3 linked regions of the Schizosaccharomyces pombe genome follow. The protein of the gene in region 1 interacts with the protein of each later gene in a pairwise test. Each region holds a gene or a part of one and is shown in the gene's direction. Other genes may lie near its edges. The genes, in order: urh2, his2 and spk1.

The links.
Region 2: the proteins of urh2 (region 1) and his2 interact in a two-hybrid assay, tested with the Schizosaccharomyces pombe proteins (one large-scale study listed by BioGRID).
Region 3: the proteins of urh2 (region 1) and spk1 interact in a two-hybrid assay, tested with the Schizosaccharomyces pombe proteins (one large-scale study listed by BioGRID).

Annotation. Positions count from the first base shown.
Region 1 is NC_003424.3:2,342,434-2,346,567, forward strand, and holds urh2 (uridine ribohydrolase), read left to right. Parts: upstream 1-2,087; 5' UTR 2,088-2,381; coding exon 2,382-3,374; 3' UTR 3,375-3,611; downstream 3,612-4,134. Other genes in the region: negative cofactor 2 complex subunit Bur6, read right to left, coding at 3,999-4,134.
Region 2 is NC_003423.3:2,157,750-2,161,847, forward strand, and holds his2 (histidinol dehydrogenase His2), read left to right. Parts: upstream 1-2,095; 5' UTR 2,096-2,167; coding exon 2,168-3,487; 3' UTR 3,488-3,542; downstream 3,543-4,098. Other genes in the region: ppp16 (acylpeptide hydrolase), read left to right, coding at 1-1,927; meiotic recombination protein Rec15, read left to right, coding at 3,793-3,997, 4,047-4,098. UniProt on the Schizosaccharomyces pombe protein: Catalyzes the sequential NAD-dependent oxidations of L-histidinol to L-histidinaldehyde and then to L-histidine.
Region 3 is NC_003424.3:2,998,945-3,003,439, reverse strand, and holds spk1 (MAP kinase Spk1), read left to right. Parts: upstream 1-1,921; 5' UTR 1,922-2,471; coding exon 2,472-3,590; 3' UTR 3,591-3,596; downstream 3,597-4,495. Other genes in the region: RNA polymerase I termination factor, Myb family Eta2, read right to left, coding at 1-1,383; hem4 (uroporphyrinogen-III synthase Ups), read right to left, coding at 3,597-4,352. UniProt on the Schizosaccharomyces pombe protein: Involved in mating signal transduction pathway.

The DNA of each region.
Region 1 (4,134 bases):
GTCCACCTTTTCCTGAAGGAAGATTATCGTTTTGCACTACAGGCCAGCCAAAAAGCTTTTCTAAAATTTTAGCAACCGTAGTTTTACCACAACCAATAGTGGCGATAGGTACAAGTAAGGTGAATTCTTTCCCACAATCATTGTCATTCGAAACGGAAAGATGCATCAGATCTAATTTTGAAAGCACCAAAAACTCATCTCGTAAAGAAATTATACCTTTATTGCTCATATATAATCGTTTAGCATCCTCGTCTTCCTTAAACTTTTTGTCACAGAAAGTAATATATTCAGCCGTTACTTTTTTATATTTTGTGTAACTTGGCTTTTTACCAGATATTAACATTTTGGTGACTTCACGCCATTGACGAAACATGCCATACGGTTCTGGAAATTTATATTTGAAAAAGAAATCATTAGAAGATTGTTGCTCAAGAGATGAATGATCAGAATGACAACGAATAACAAACCCTTCGATTGCCCTGTTATTCCATTTGCCATCTTTAGAGGCATTTTCTAAAAAGGCTTTGAGCTCATGAATGCTATCCATAAAAAATGAAGAAACTTTCATAAATCCCCATTGTTCCGCAAATTCAGCAACTTCACAGGATGATGCAGTAATAAACTGCGGGCAATTCCGATTTAATCCATGCAGATATAGTCCACGAGAATTTCCAGTGTATGGAAGAATGTGCTCTTCAAACTCATCATCACAGAGTTCAGCCACAGCAGTCATGTCTCTACGAAGTAGTTCATGGGCCAGCTCTTGTTTAGTGCGACCAACACTTTGCAAATGTTTTTCAAGCCAACGTTCCCCAACGTTTGCATGAGAGACTGATTGTCCTTCCACAATACCTAAAGAATGCTTGCTAGAAACAATGATCTGTCCGTCTGGCAAAGCTGCAATAAATATGATACAACCATTTTCTTTGACTGTCAATTCATAAGGTCCTTTAGTGTGTTGAGAAAGTGCATCCCAAGTAGTAATAGGGACTTCATCAATATTAAAAAATTTATCGTACCCACGTATAACAATGCGATGTCTTTTACTTTCATAGTCATAGCCAGTAAACAAACCACGCGCGTTTGTAGGTAAAGTAATTCTATGTCCAGATATAGTATCAAAACATTTTTTGCTATTGGACACATTTAAACGAAATGCCTGTTCCCAGATCCTCCAAGAAGTTAAATCATAATTAGATTTGGGAGCTTTGAATGTAACTGATCTAACAGTTGATTTTTTTTCTCCGAATATGCAAACTCTTTGATCACGAGTCTACATAATTCTTGAACCAAATCTTCTGAATTATTAAAATTCAAAACCATAATTTTTTAAGAAAAAATAATAAAGCAAAAGCCTTGAATTCAACGAACTTCCTTTGACTGAATGCTCTACAGAAAAATAAGCAACTATGTATTTTTGGAAGAAATCAATAAAGGAAGAAAAACATAAGCTTTTCTCAGCAGTTGGCCGGAAGAAGCAACTACACTGATTTGAAAAGAGTAGAGCGAAAGACAAAAACTAATTTATTTCTGCTCACAGTTAAGCTTGGTATATGGAAGCAACATTAGTTACGGTAGATTCTATTATGTCTCAGTAAAATCTATTTACAAATTCAAAAATACCTGATAAATCTTGATCTACTAATTAAAGCGAGCACGTATTTATTTCTACTTATCAATAATAAACGGGTTGTTTTTTCATTGATATAATGTTTTGTCTTCTACCTTCTGTGCAAGCTTTAATAAGTTAACAAATTAGCTGAAGTTACAAATCTTTACTTCGTTTTAGCAATAGCATTTTCAAAAGTAAAAATTCCAGCTGTTAAGAATTCCGATAACATTTTACATATGGATGTAACCAACATTATTATTCATTAGCAAACAAAAAATTCGGTTAGTTTTTAATCATGCTAGCTGTTGATAAATGGTTTCAGGAATTAAACGGAAAGTCATTGCAAACACTAACCGTAGCAAATAAATTTCAAATCATAAGTCAAAATAACGTTTTTCTACGTTTTGTGAGCCACTCTCTTGCAGTGCGTTACTCAAATGTATCCAGAACAGCGGAAAATTAAACGAAAATTGATGAAGATAGATTTCAAGCGTCGGCATTTTTGATACATTAATTGTCTACTTACAAGGTCGGTTGAATAGACAATTTCCGCATTAGGGGCTACTAGGCTATCCATCTGTGCAATATTTATTACCATTTTTAAACCACAACACCACATATCTCTTTGCAAGGTTATTAGCCATATATTTTATTGTGTCCTCGTCCAGCAAGAATATTATCTTCGGATGTCCAAAGTAATAAAGTCATAAAAAACCTCATAGCTAGTACTAATCGATTTTTTTTTAAGCTTAGTGATTATTGTGGCACCATGACTAACACAATTGATTCATTCCAAAAAGGCTCCGCATTAGAAAACTATAACATATGGATCGATTGCGATCCTGGACATGACGATGTTGTCGCCTTAACATTGGCTGCTTGCGCTGGACATTGTAAAATTTTGGGTGTTAGTACCGTACATGGTAATACAACGCTAGAATTTACTACCAAAAATGCTTTAGCGGTAATGGAGCTTTTAAATCAAGATGTTGATGTTCATGCTGGCGCAGCGAAGCCCTTGATGCGCGAGTCCGCGTTCGCTACTCACATACATGGTACGAATGGGCTTGCAGGGATTTCATTGCTTCCTGATTATCCCAAAAAGAAGGCTACTCCTGATGCGGTGTTCGCTATGTATACCACTATTTCTAATTATCCAGAGCCTGTCACTCTCGTAGCTACCGGTCCTTTGACAAACATTGCATTGTTATTGGCAACGTACCCAAGCGTTACCGACAACATAGAAAGGTTTATATTTATGGGTGGTAGCACAGGCATTGGAAATATTACTTCTCAAGCAGAATTCAACGTGTATGCTGATCCTGAGGCAGCTAGGCTCGTTTTAGAGACTAAATCACTTATCGGCAAACTATTTATGGTGCCGCTAGATGTCACTCATAAAGTACTTTTAGATGCAAACATTATTCAGTTACTGCGTCAACATAGCAACCCATTTAGTTCCACACTGGTAGAATTGATGACTGTCTTTCAACAAACTTATGAAAATGTCTACGGAATTCGAAACGGTGTTCCCGTTCATGACGTTTGTGCTGTTGCTTTGGCGCTGTGGCCATCTCTGTGGACCTCGCGTTCTATGTATGTGACTGTAAGCTTAGATTCTCTCACTCTTGGTCGCACTGTCTGTGATGTATGGTCGCAACAAAATCAGTATCCGGCTAATGTTCATGTTGTTTTGGAAGCTGATGTTTCATTATTTTGGGAGACGTTTATTGGAGTTATAGACAGGCTCAATTATTTGTAGTATATTTATGACATTATCGACTAGTGTTTTATGTTTATTTTTTACAACGATCAAGTTCTCCCTTCATTTTCAATTTTGAAAGCACTTCAAGCATTCATCATGCCCTCTTATATCATCCATTGGAAATACAAAACCAAATACTTTCTTTTTTACTCAAAGAAGTACGTTTATACTTTTGCATTGCATATAGTTTTATAAAATCTTAGACTATAAAAATATCATTATTTGAATTTAAATACTAACAACAAAGTATGTATAAATAAATGCTTAATTATAAACAAAAGGGTGTACGAGTAAGTGATAGGTTCGTAGAATTGTCAATAGCATCATTTTGGCAAATAAAATCAGTAGACGCCAAGTTGGTCTTTCATAGTACATTAATAAGGCACTTTAAAAAAGCTCAATATGAACAACCAGAACGTATTATATTCTTAAGTCGAAGAAAAGGCTTAAAAATACTAGAATTAATGTGCCAATTTTATAGTCCTATGTACAAGTAGCTTGAGAATATTTTCTGAAAACAAATTCAAGAAAAAAGGGAAGATAAGAATAAATGTAATAGCAAAACAAGAATAAAGTATACAAAGACATTATATTTATGGTCATATAGGGTGGAGAAAGTAGCTACTCATCACCAGACGCGGAAGAGGCTTCACTAGTTGTCTTGTCAGAAAAATTACCATGATCAACAGAGGCTTTCTCCTCGTGATCTGCTTCAGTTTCCTCACCAGTAGGTTCTTCTTTGACAGGAGTTTCTGTG
Region 2 (4,098 bases), on another chromosome or scaffold:
TTTAGGGAATCTTGGAATATTTATAGAATCGAATTATTCCTTTGCTGATCACAAATATAACTCTGGAATTTACCTTTTGAATGAAAGCACTAGAAACCATCAAGAGCTTTTAGTACACGGCAAATCAAACAAAGCGCTCACATGGATTACTGATTCAGCTTTTTTATATGCAAGAGAAGATAATTCTAGCTCATCGAGTATCCTTCTTTTTGACGTTAACAATCGATCAGAGCGTATCATATATAATCATAACTCTTCAATATCTGATATAAGGATCGGAGAAAAGAACAACCACTATAGAATCGTTTTTAGTTCAGTGGATAATTCGTTAGTTAAGGGACCTTCAAATGTTCACGTATACGATCACTTGTTTGTTCGACACTGGGATAGATGGAACACAGGATCTAGGAATACCCTTTATTTTATAGAGCTAGATAAAAAAACGGAAAACTCAAATTATTTTGAAATTTCCTCAGAAAAAGCTATTGATTTGTTGAAGGAAACTGGCTTGGAATCTCCTGTCGAACCCTTCGGAGGTCTTTCTGACTTTGATTCTAACTACGACAAACTTGTCTTTGTAGCAAAAGACCCGAAATTAAATCCGGCAACACAAACAAAGACAGTTGTTTACGAGATTAATCTGAACACTCGGAATCTGAAGTCATTGAGCACTGCGAAGGGTGCATGCTCTTCACCAAGACTAGCCAAAGATGGAAATCATATTGCATGGCTTGAAATGCAAACACCACAGTACGAAAGCGATCAAAATCAAATAATGGTATATGAGTCCGAGTCAGGCGCTAAAAAGCACATTGCTCGTCATTGGGACCGATCGCCTTCCAGCATTGAATGGGGGGTTTTCAAAGGAGGCGAACCAGGTCTTTTTGCTATTGCTGAGAATTATGGGAAGCAAATTTTGTTTTTTGTTTCTATATTTCACCACCAAGTTATCCCAATGACAGAAGAACACTCTGTTTCTTCTATTAGTGTCCCTAAATCTTCTTCCTTATGGCTTACGAAGTCATCTTTAATCAATCCCCCTTATTACGCAAAGATTAACGTTGAAACGTTAAACGAAAGTGTTTTACTCGAGAACAATGTCGGATTATCGCCAACTTCTTATGAAGAAATTTGGTTTCCTGGCACTCATGGTCACAGAATTCATGCATGGATTGTAAAGCCCGAAAGTTTTGATAAATCTAAAAAATATCCTGTAGCAGTGCTTATACACGGGGGACCTCAAGGTTCTTGGACAGATAGTTGGTCAACGCGCTGGAATCCTGCAGTTTTTGCTAATGCTGGTTTTATTGTATTTGCTCTTGATCCTACTGGATCTACAGGTTATGGACAACGTTTTACCGATTCCATTGCTCTTGATTGGGGTGGTAAGCCATATAAAGATATTGAACTTGGTGTTGAGTACATAAAAAATCATCTTTCCTATGCTGATTCTGAAAAAATGGTTGCCTTAGGTGCTTCCTATGGTGGTTACATGATTAATTGGATTCAAGGACACCCTTTAGGTCGTCAATTTCGTGCACTTGTATGTCATGACGGGGTATTTAATACCCTCAATACTTTTTACAATACTGAAGAACTTTATTTTTCTATTCACGATTTTGGGGGTACTCCTTGGGAAAACAGAGTTATCTATGAGCGCTGGAATCCTTCAAATTTTGTGAATTATTGGGCCACTCCTGAACTTGTAATTCATAGCTCAAAGGATTACAGGCTTACCGAAAGTGAAGGAATAGCCGCATTCAATGTTTTGCAGTACAAGGGAATTCCTAGCAGATTACTAGTCTTTGAAGACGAAAACCATTGGGTCATTAAACCTGATAATTCCCTACGTTGGCATAAAGAAGTGCTTTCGTGGATTCTTCACTATACTAAAGATTGTAATGCCAATGAAGATGAAACGTTTTAGATTAATTTTAATAATACAACTACGATTATTTAATAAATTTTTTTTTGTTTCTCTCGATCTTTGTTAATTCTATTACCGCGGATAAAAAGTTGCAACCGCGGTTTATCCGAAGACATATCAAATTTAGATCTTTGCTGTAAGGGAAATCGAGTATTCACCGATCCAGCCATTCCTTAGCCAACATTGCATTAAATTTTTAGAGAGTCGATTTAGACTTGACTACCTTTAATTTACTTAATAATGCCGGAATACGAGATTCAGGTGCCTTCTTATAGAGCTGCTGCATTAACCGCCGAAGAACGTACACGATTACTTGCAAGACCCATTCAGAACACTCAAAAAATTCGTACGATTGTCCAACCGATAATCGAGGATGTTAAATCAAGAGGAGAAGCTTCTCTAATAGATTATGCTTCCAAATTTGAAAAGGTTCAATTGAAGTCGGCTGTCTTAAAGGCTCCGTTTGACGACGACTTAATGAAAATATCCCCAATGATTAAAGAGGATATTGATATTGCTTTTAACAATATTTTTGCTTTCCATTCATCACAGCTGCGTCCTACAATTGCTGTTCAAACCATGCGTGGTGTAGTCTGTCAACGGATGTCTCGTCCTATTAACCGAGTTGGTCTTTATATCCCTGGAGGAACTGCAGTGTTGCCATCTACTGCTTTGATGCTTGGAGTTCCGGCGAAGGTAGCTGGCTGTCCTCATGTAGTGATTTCTACGCCAGTCCGAAAGGATGGTACGGTTGCGCCTGAAATTGTATATATTGCAAATAAAATTGGTGCTGAGGCTATTATTTTGGCAGGCGGGGCGCAAGCAATTGCGGCCATGGCATATGGAATATCCGGTGTTCCTAAAGTTAACAAAATTTTTGGCCCTGGAAATCAATTTGTTACAGCTGCAAAGATGCATGTTCAGAATGATTACGGGGCTTTAGTTGCTATTGATCTTCCTGCTGGTCCCTCAGAAGTTTTGGTAATAGCAGATGAGACCTGTAATCCTGAAAGTGTTGCCTTGGATTTATTGTCTCAAGCAGAGCATGGTTTGGACAGTCAGATCATTTTGCTGACTGTCTCTCTATCTCCCGAAATGTTTGACCGTATTCAAAAAGCAATTAATGATCACGCTTTACGACTTTCTCGTTCGTATATCATCAAACATGCTATCAAGAAGTCGGTTATTGTACAGGTTGACAATGTTGATCAAGCTTTTGAATGGTCTAATTTGTATGGTCCTGAGCACTTGGTCTTGCACTTAAAAAATGCTTCTTCATACATTCCCAAAATAGATAATGCTGGTAGCGTTTTCGTTGGTCCTTGGTCACCTGTAAGTATGGGTGACTATGCGTCTGGTACCAACCATACGCTTCCTACATACGGGTACGCCTCTTCTTATTCTGGCGTTAGTACCGATAGCTTCTTAAAATATATCACTACCCAAGAGCTCACTGAAGAAGGAATCCAGCGGTTGGGCCCTACTGTTATTCGTCTTGCTGAGTTGGAGGGTCTCACTGCGCATGCCGATGCTGTTCGTGTTCGGGGAGTTAGACTTTGAAAGGGGTTTCCTTTTTACGTATACCTAATTAAGGATTCGGCTTAAAATAAAATTTGTGTTTGGTACTAAATTTGACAAAGTATTTTTAGGTTATGATTTATTTTATTTTATTTTATATTTTTCAATTTAATTTTAATAGTATGAATGGGCATCCAATATACTGAGTAATTATCCATTAATTCAACCTGAAGTTAGTTGGTGTCGCGTCGCGTGTCTCGACTTTTTTCTAGTGAAAACGAACATTCCCTTTAACCAAACCTGCAATTAAGCGTTACGGGAATTTTAACGGAAACGATCATTAAATAATGAGTTATTCAGTTTCAGCTGCTCAATTATGGTCTCGCAAGTTGGCAATGCAAGCCGAAGATATGCAACAGCATCAAAAGTCACAGAGCAATCAAATTGCTAGTTGTTTGGCTGAAATGAATACCAAACAAGAGGTAGTTAATCAAACGATCGGTCAACTAGGACGATCTATTAGTGAAGTCCAACAACAAAATTCTCAACTAGGTAAGTGAGATTTAGAATTTCCCAAGTGGTTGGAAGTCTGACTTAATAGTACTACAATCTTTGAATCAAATAAACATGTCTATGCAGCAAGTGGCCTTAGG
Region 3 (4,495 bases), 660 kb from region 1:
AGATGCGATTGTTTTTTCGTACTGTTTTCGACAGCTTTCCGGCGACTTAGTCCCAAGCTTCTTCGATATGCTATGCCATGCAATGGAATCAGATGCCGGTATTTCCCGTTGTATGTTTGAAGTAGTGTGATTATTGTGTGTGAAAAGGCTTGTCATTTTTTTTGTGTGAAAAGACGACCGGTAAGAAGACTTTACCAAGTCTAATAGCTTTGCTTCCTCTTCATTCGTCCATAATTTGCGCCGATCAATTGTTTCCTGAGTACTAGTACCTACAACAAACCTCCATTGACTCATGCACGCGGCAGGTGACGTTCCCAGTTTGTTCGCTATGCTGTTCCACCGCGTTCCCTCTTGTTCAACTAGGGTGTACAGCTTTTTTAGCTCACTTTCCTCCCATGCATTCCTATCTTTCGGATCCAACGGCTTGTAGATTTCCTTCAAATAACGAATAATTCCTTTTCTTGAAATAGAAGTAGGCAGCAATTCGCGTAGTTCGTTGTATAGAAAGTTGATATTTGTATGTCTTAAGCTTGAAGAACTCATCCGGAAGCCAAACTCTTGTAAATCTACGCCTTCATTATTACAATAAGACAAAACTACTTTTTGAATCACTTGTGCGTCTTCTAGAGAAAAATTAAGTTGCGAATCCTCTTCAGCAGCCAAGCTTCCAATGTCTATCTTTTCGTAACCGGCGACTTGAAAAAAAGCACGCATGTACTTTAGTAAACTATTTTCTTTTCGATTCAGAAAAGATGCTACTGACTCTAAAAACCCTTGAAGTCGACTCCCAGCATGTTCGTCTTCCAATATCTCGATCATTTGCTCCCGTGATATAGACCGAATCGTTAACAATTCATCAATCCTTGCTTGAAACCACTTTTCATGCTCCTCTGTCCATGCATCCTTTCTTTTCTTTGCATTGAAAGAGTTTGTGCTTTCAACTTTGCTTTCAGAATCGTCAGAAGAGGATCGCGCAATTTTACGCTTTGATGCATGATCACTACATGTTTTGACAACGACAGAGGAAAGTGGACTATTTTCCAATAACTGTCGTGTAGCTTCCATACAATCTTTATGGTCATCTGACACAGGCTCACTAGTTCCTCCTAAGGAGTGAGCACGTGAAGGCTTATGTATAAGTGACCCCATTTCAAACTCAAACTCATTATCTTCATCAAATTCGTAAACATCTTTTCTTTTCATAGATTTCATTAAACTTCCAGGCCGAGATTTATTATTAGTGATATTGAAGGTATTGTGATCTGTAAACATAACGTCTCTTTCTTGCATTGCACCCTTACTGCTACATGAAAGTGTAGGACTTTCCAAATTTGAGCGTGTTCCCTGGTTTTCATTTATTGTCATGTCGATAGCTAACATCATTAATTTACAATGCCTTCTAATAACGGGTTAGCCAATTCATGATGAAGTAAGGACGCCAAGGGAAATTTATGAATGTTTAACTATTTTTGTTTGAGAGTTTCAACGGATTTATCTATTTTTTTTCATGCTTTTTAAACTTTCATAAGATTATTATTACGAGAACATAAAATTAAACAACCATCATACGGTTTCTGTTCAACCTCTTCAAGAACCCATTCAAATATCCTTGCATAACCAATTGTTTCTGCTTACCTTGTAAATTAATTATTTCGATTTAGATAGTCTTAAAATATTGCATTTCTTTGCCTTTAATTTCTGTCGTGGTAGATGGAAGGTTTGTAAGTTAGTGTAAACAAAGAATATGCGCGACGCGTCGCGCACTTAAAATGTGTGTTACTTTTTTGATTTCATGTCACTCATCGTTTCTTTATTCTGTCTAAAGATTCGTATCTATGAAGTTTCTGGGGCAATACATTAACAAAGAAACTTTCTTTGTTATTGTAAGTTATAAATGTTGACTAGTCCAACCACACTACTTAACAATTACCAACAGCTTTTCAACAGTTTTGGAAGGGCAATTGAGAAATTGCTAGAGACGGTTTTGAAGGACGCTTTTGCAATTCCCTCAAGGCATCTTTGCTTGGCAATATTTGAAGCATCATTTTTTTATTGAATAACCATTGTGGGCCTTTAATCTCAATTGCGAAGATACATTTGTCTGGTTTTTTGAAATTCTTCCCTTTTACGATTTTTGTATATTTTCTATTTCTTTTGTTATTCCTATATTTTATAAGCTTGCAACCTAATATTTGTATTATTGTTGCTAGCGCCTGTTTTTGAAGTGCTGCCGAACGTCCTTCTTTCGCATTATTTAATTTAATACTAAACTAATTTGATAAAGGGATTTCTAATACATCCTTGTCTATTTCTGTCTTTGGCTGGCAAACCGACTTTTTTCAATATTGTCGGATTTAAAGCACAAAGGATTGCATAACATAATTTATTACAAAGAACGTTGTAATTCTTTTTAATTCTATTTATCTATTCATATCGCTTCATTTCTTTCAAGTTTTTCAATTTGTAGTCTAATGGCGAGCGCTACTTCCACGCCTACTATTGCGGATGGGAATTCCAACAAGGAGTCAGTAGCTACAAGTCGAAGCCCACACACGCATGATCTAAACTTTGAGCTACCAGAGGAATACGAAATGATCAATCTCATCGGTCAAGGTGCTTATGGAGTTGTATGTGCCGCGCTTCACAAACCCAGCGGCCTAAAGGTGGCTGTTAAAAAAATACATCCTTTCAATCATCCTGTGTTTTGTCTAAGAACTTTAAGGGAAATCAAGTTACTCAGACATTTTCGTCATGAAAATATAATTTCAATTCTAGACATCCTTCCACCACCGAGCTACCAGGAATTGGAAGATGTTTATATTGTACAAGAGCTTATGGAAACGGATTTGTACCGTGTTATACGTTCGCAGCCCTTAAGCGATGATCATTGTCAATACTTTACGTATCAAATTTTGCGCGCTCTGAAAGCCATGCATAGTGCTGGAGTTGTTCATAGAGACCTGAAGCCATCAAACTTACTACTAAATGCCAATTGTGATCTCAAAGTTGCCGATTTCGGTTTGGCACGTTCCACCACAGCTCAAGGCGGAAATCCTGGCTTTATGACTGAGTATGTCGCAACTCGTTGGTATCGAGCACCGGAAATTATGCTGAGTTTCCGAGAATACAGCAAAGCTATTGATTTATGGAGTACTGGTTGTATACTTGCTGAGATGCTTTCTGCTCGACCATTGTTCCCAGGAAAGGACTATCATAGTCAAATTACTTTAATCCTTAACATTCTAGGAACGCCTACTATGGACGATTTTTCAAGAATTAAATCTGCACGTGCGAGGAAATATATTAAAAGTCTTCCATTTACTCCTAAAGTATCATTCAAAGCACTCTTTCCTCAGGCATCACCAGATGCTATTGACCTTTTAGAAAAATTACTGACATTTAATCCTGATAAGCGTATAACTGCAGAAGAGGCTCTAAAGCACCCGTATGTAGCTGCTTATCATGATGCCAGTGATGAGCCTACAGCATCCCCCATGCCTCCCAACCTCGTCGATTTATACTGTAACAAAGAAGATCTCGAAATACCGGTATTGAAGGCCTTAATATTTCGTGAAGTAAATTTCAGATAAAAAGCTTCAACTAGAATTCTCCTCATCAAAGGCAACTATGCTGGATGCCAAGCTCTCTGGATTAGGTGCTGGAGATACAACGTTCGGTTGAGTTCCCAGCTTCTTTAGATAATCTCCAGTAGTAGGTCCAATGGTTGCGATCTTTAATTCAAATGTGTTTAATAAAGAGCAAATGGATGTCGGACTGAATGCGACAATCCAATCAATTGTAGGATGTTTTCTAATCGTATCCTTTATTTGGGTTTCTGTATTTTCTAATTCTTGCGTAGCATATACGATTAATGAATCTACTCTGTCGTCCCCCAGTTTTCTTTGAATTATATCCCTATGCTTTTCCCCTACAAGGAAAAGTAAGGGCTTATGTTGTTTAGTCGTAGTATACCACTCTTCAATTAAATCTGCCAAAACCTCACCCCTTCCACAGTCCTTTCCATGTGTTTGCTGAAAACCGAGACGTCGAATACTATCATCAGTCGCCGGACCTACTGTAAATATTGGTGTTTCCATCAATATTTTCTGCCTCTCCGTTTCATCTTCTTGTTTTAATGCTTCATCCAGAGTTTCGCTAACTCGTTGACTGGTAACGATTAAACCACAATAAGTTTTACGAACGTTTTTTAATTTATCTCTAAGCTGTTCTTCGTGAACCCTTTTGTGTCTCAGCACAGGAATGAAGGCTGTATCTCTTCCATATTTTTCAAAGGCCTCCACATATGGATCGAAAGGCTGTGATTTGGTTTTCAATAGCAAAGCAGTTTTCATGCTTTGTCTTTACAATTTGAGAAATGTAAAAAAATAATTACAGTGTCATCTAGTTCCTCAACCTATTCTACGCTTATTCTGACCAGTGAGCAGTAGCACAATTTGGCAGATGGAACAAACATGCATCTTTCCACATCGCTAAT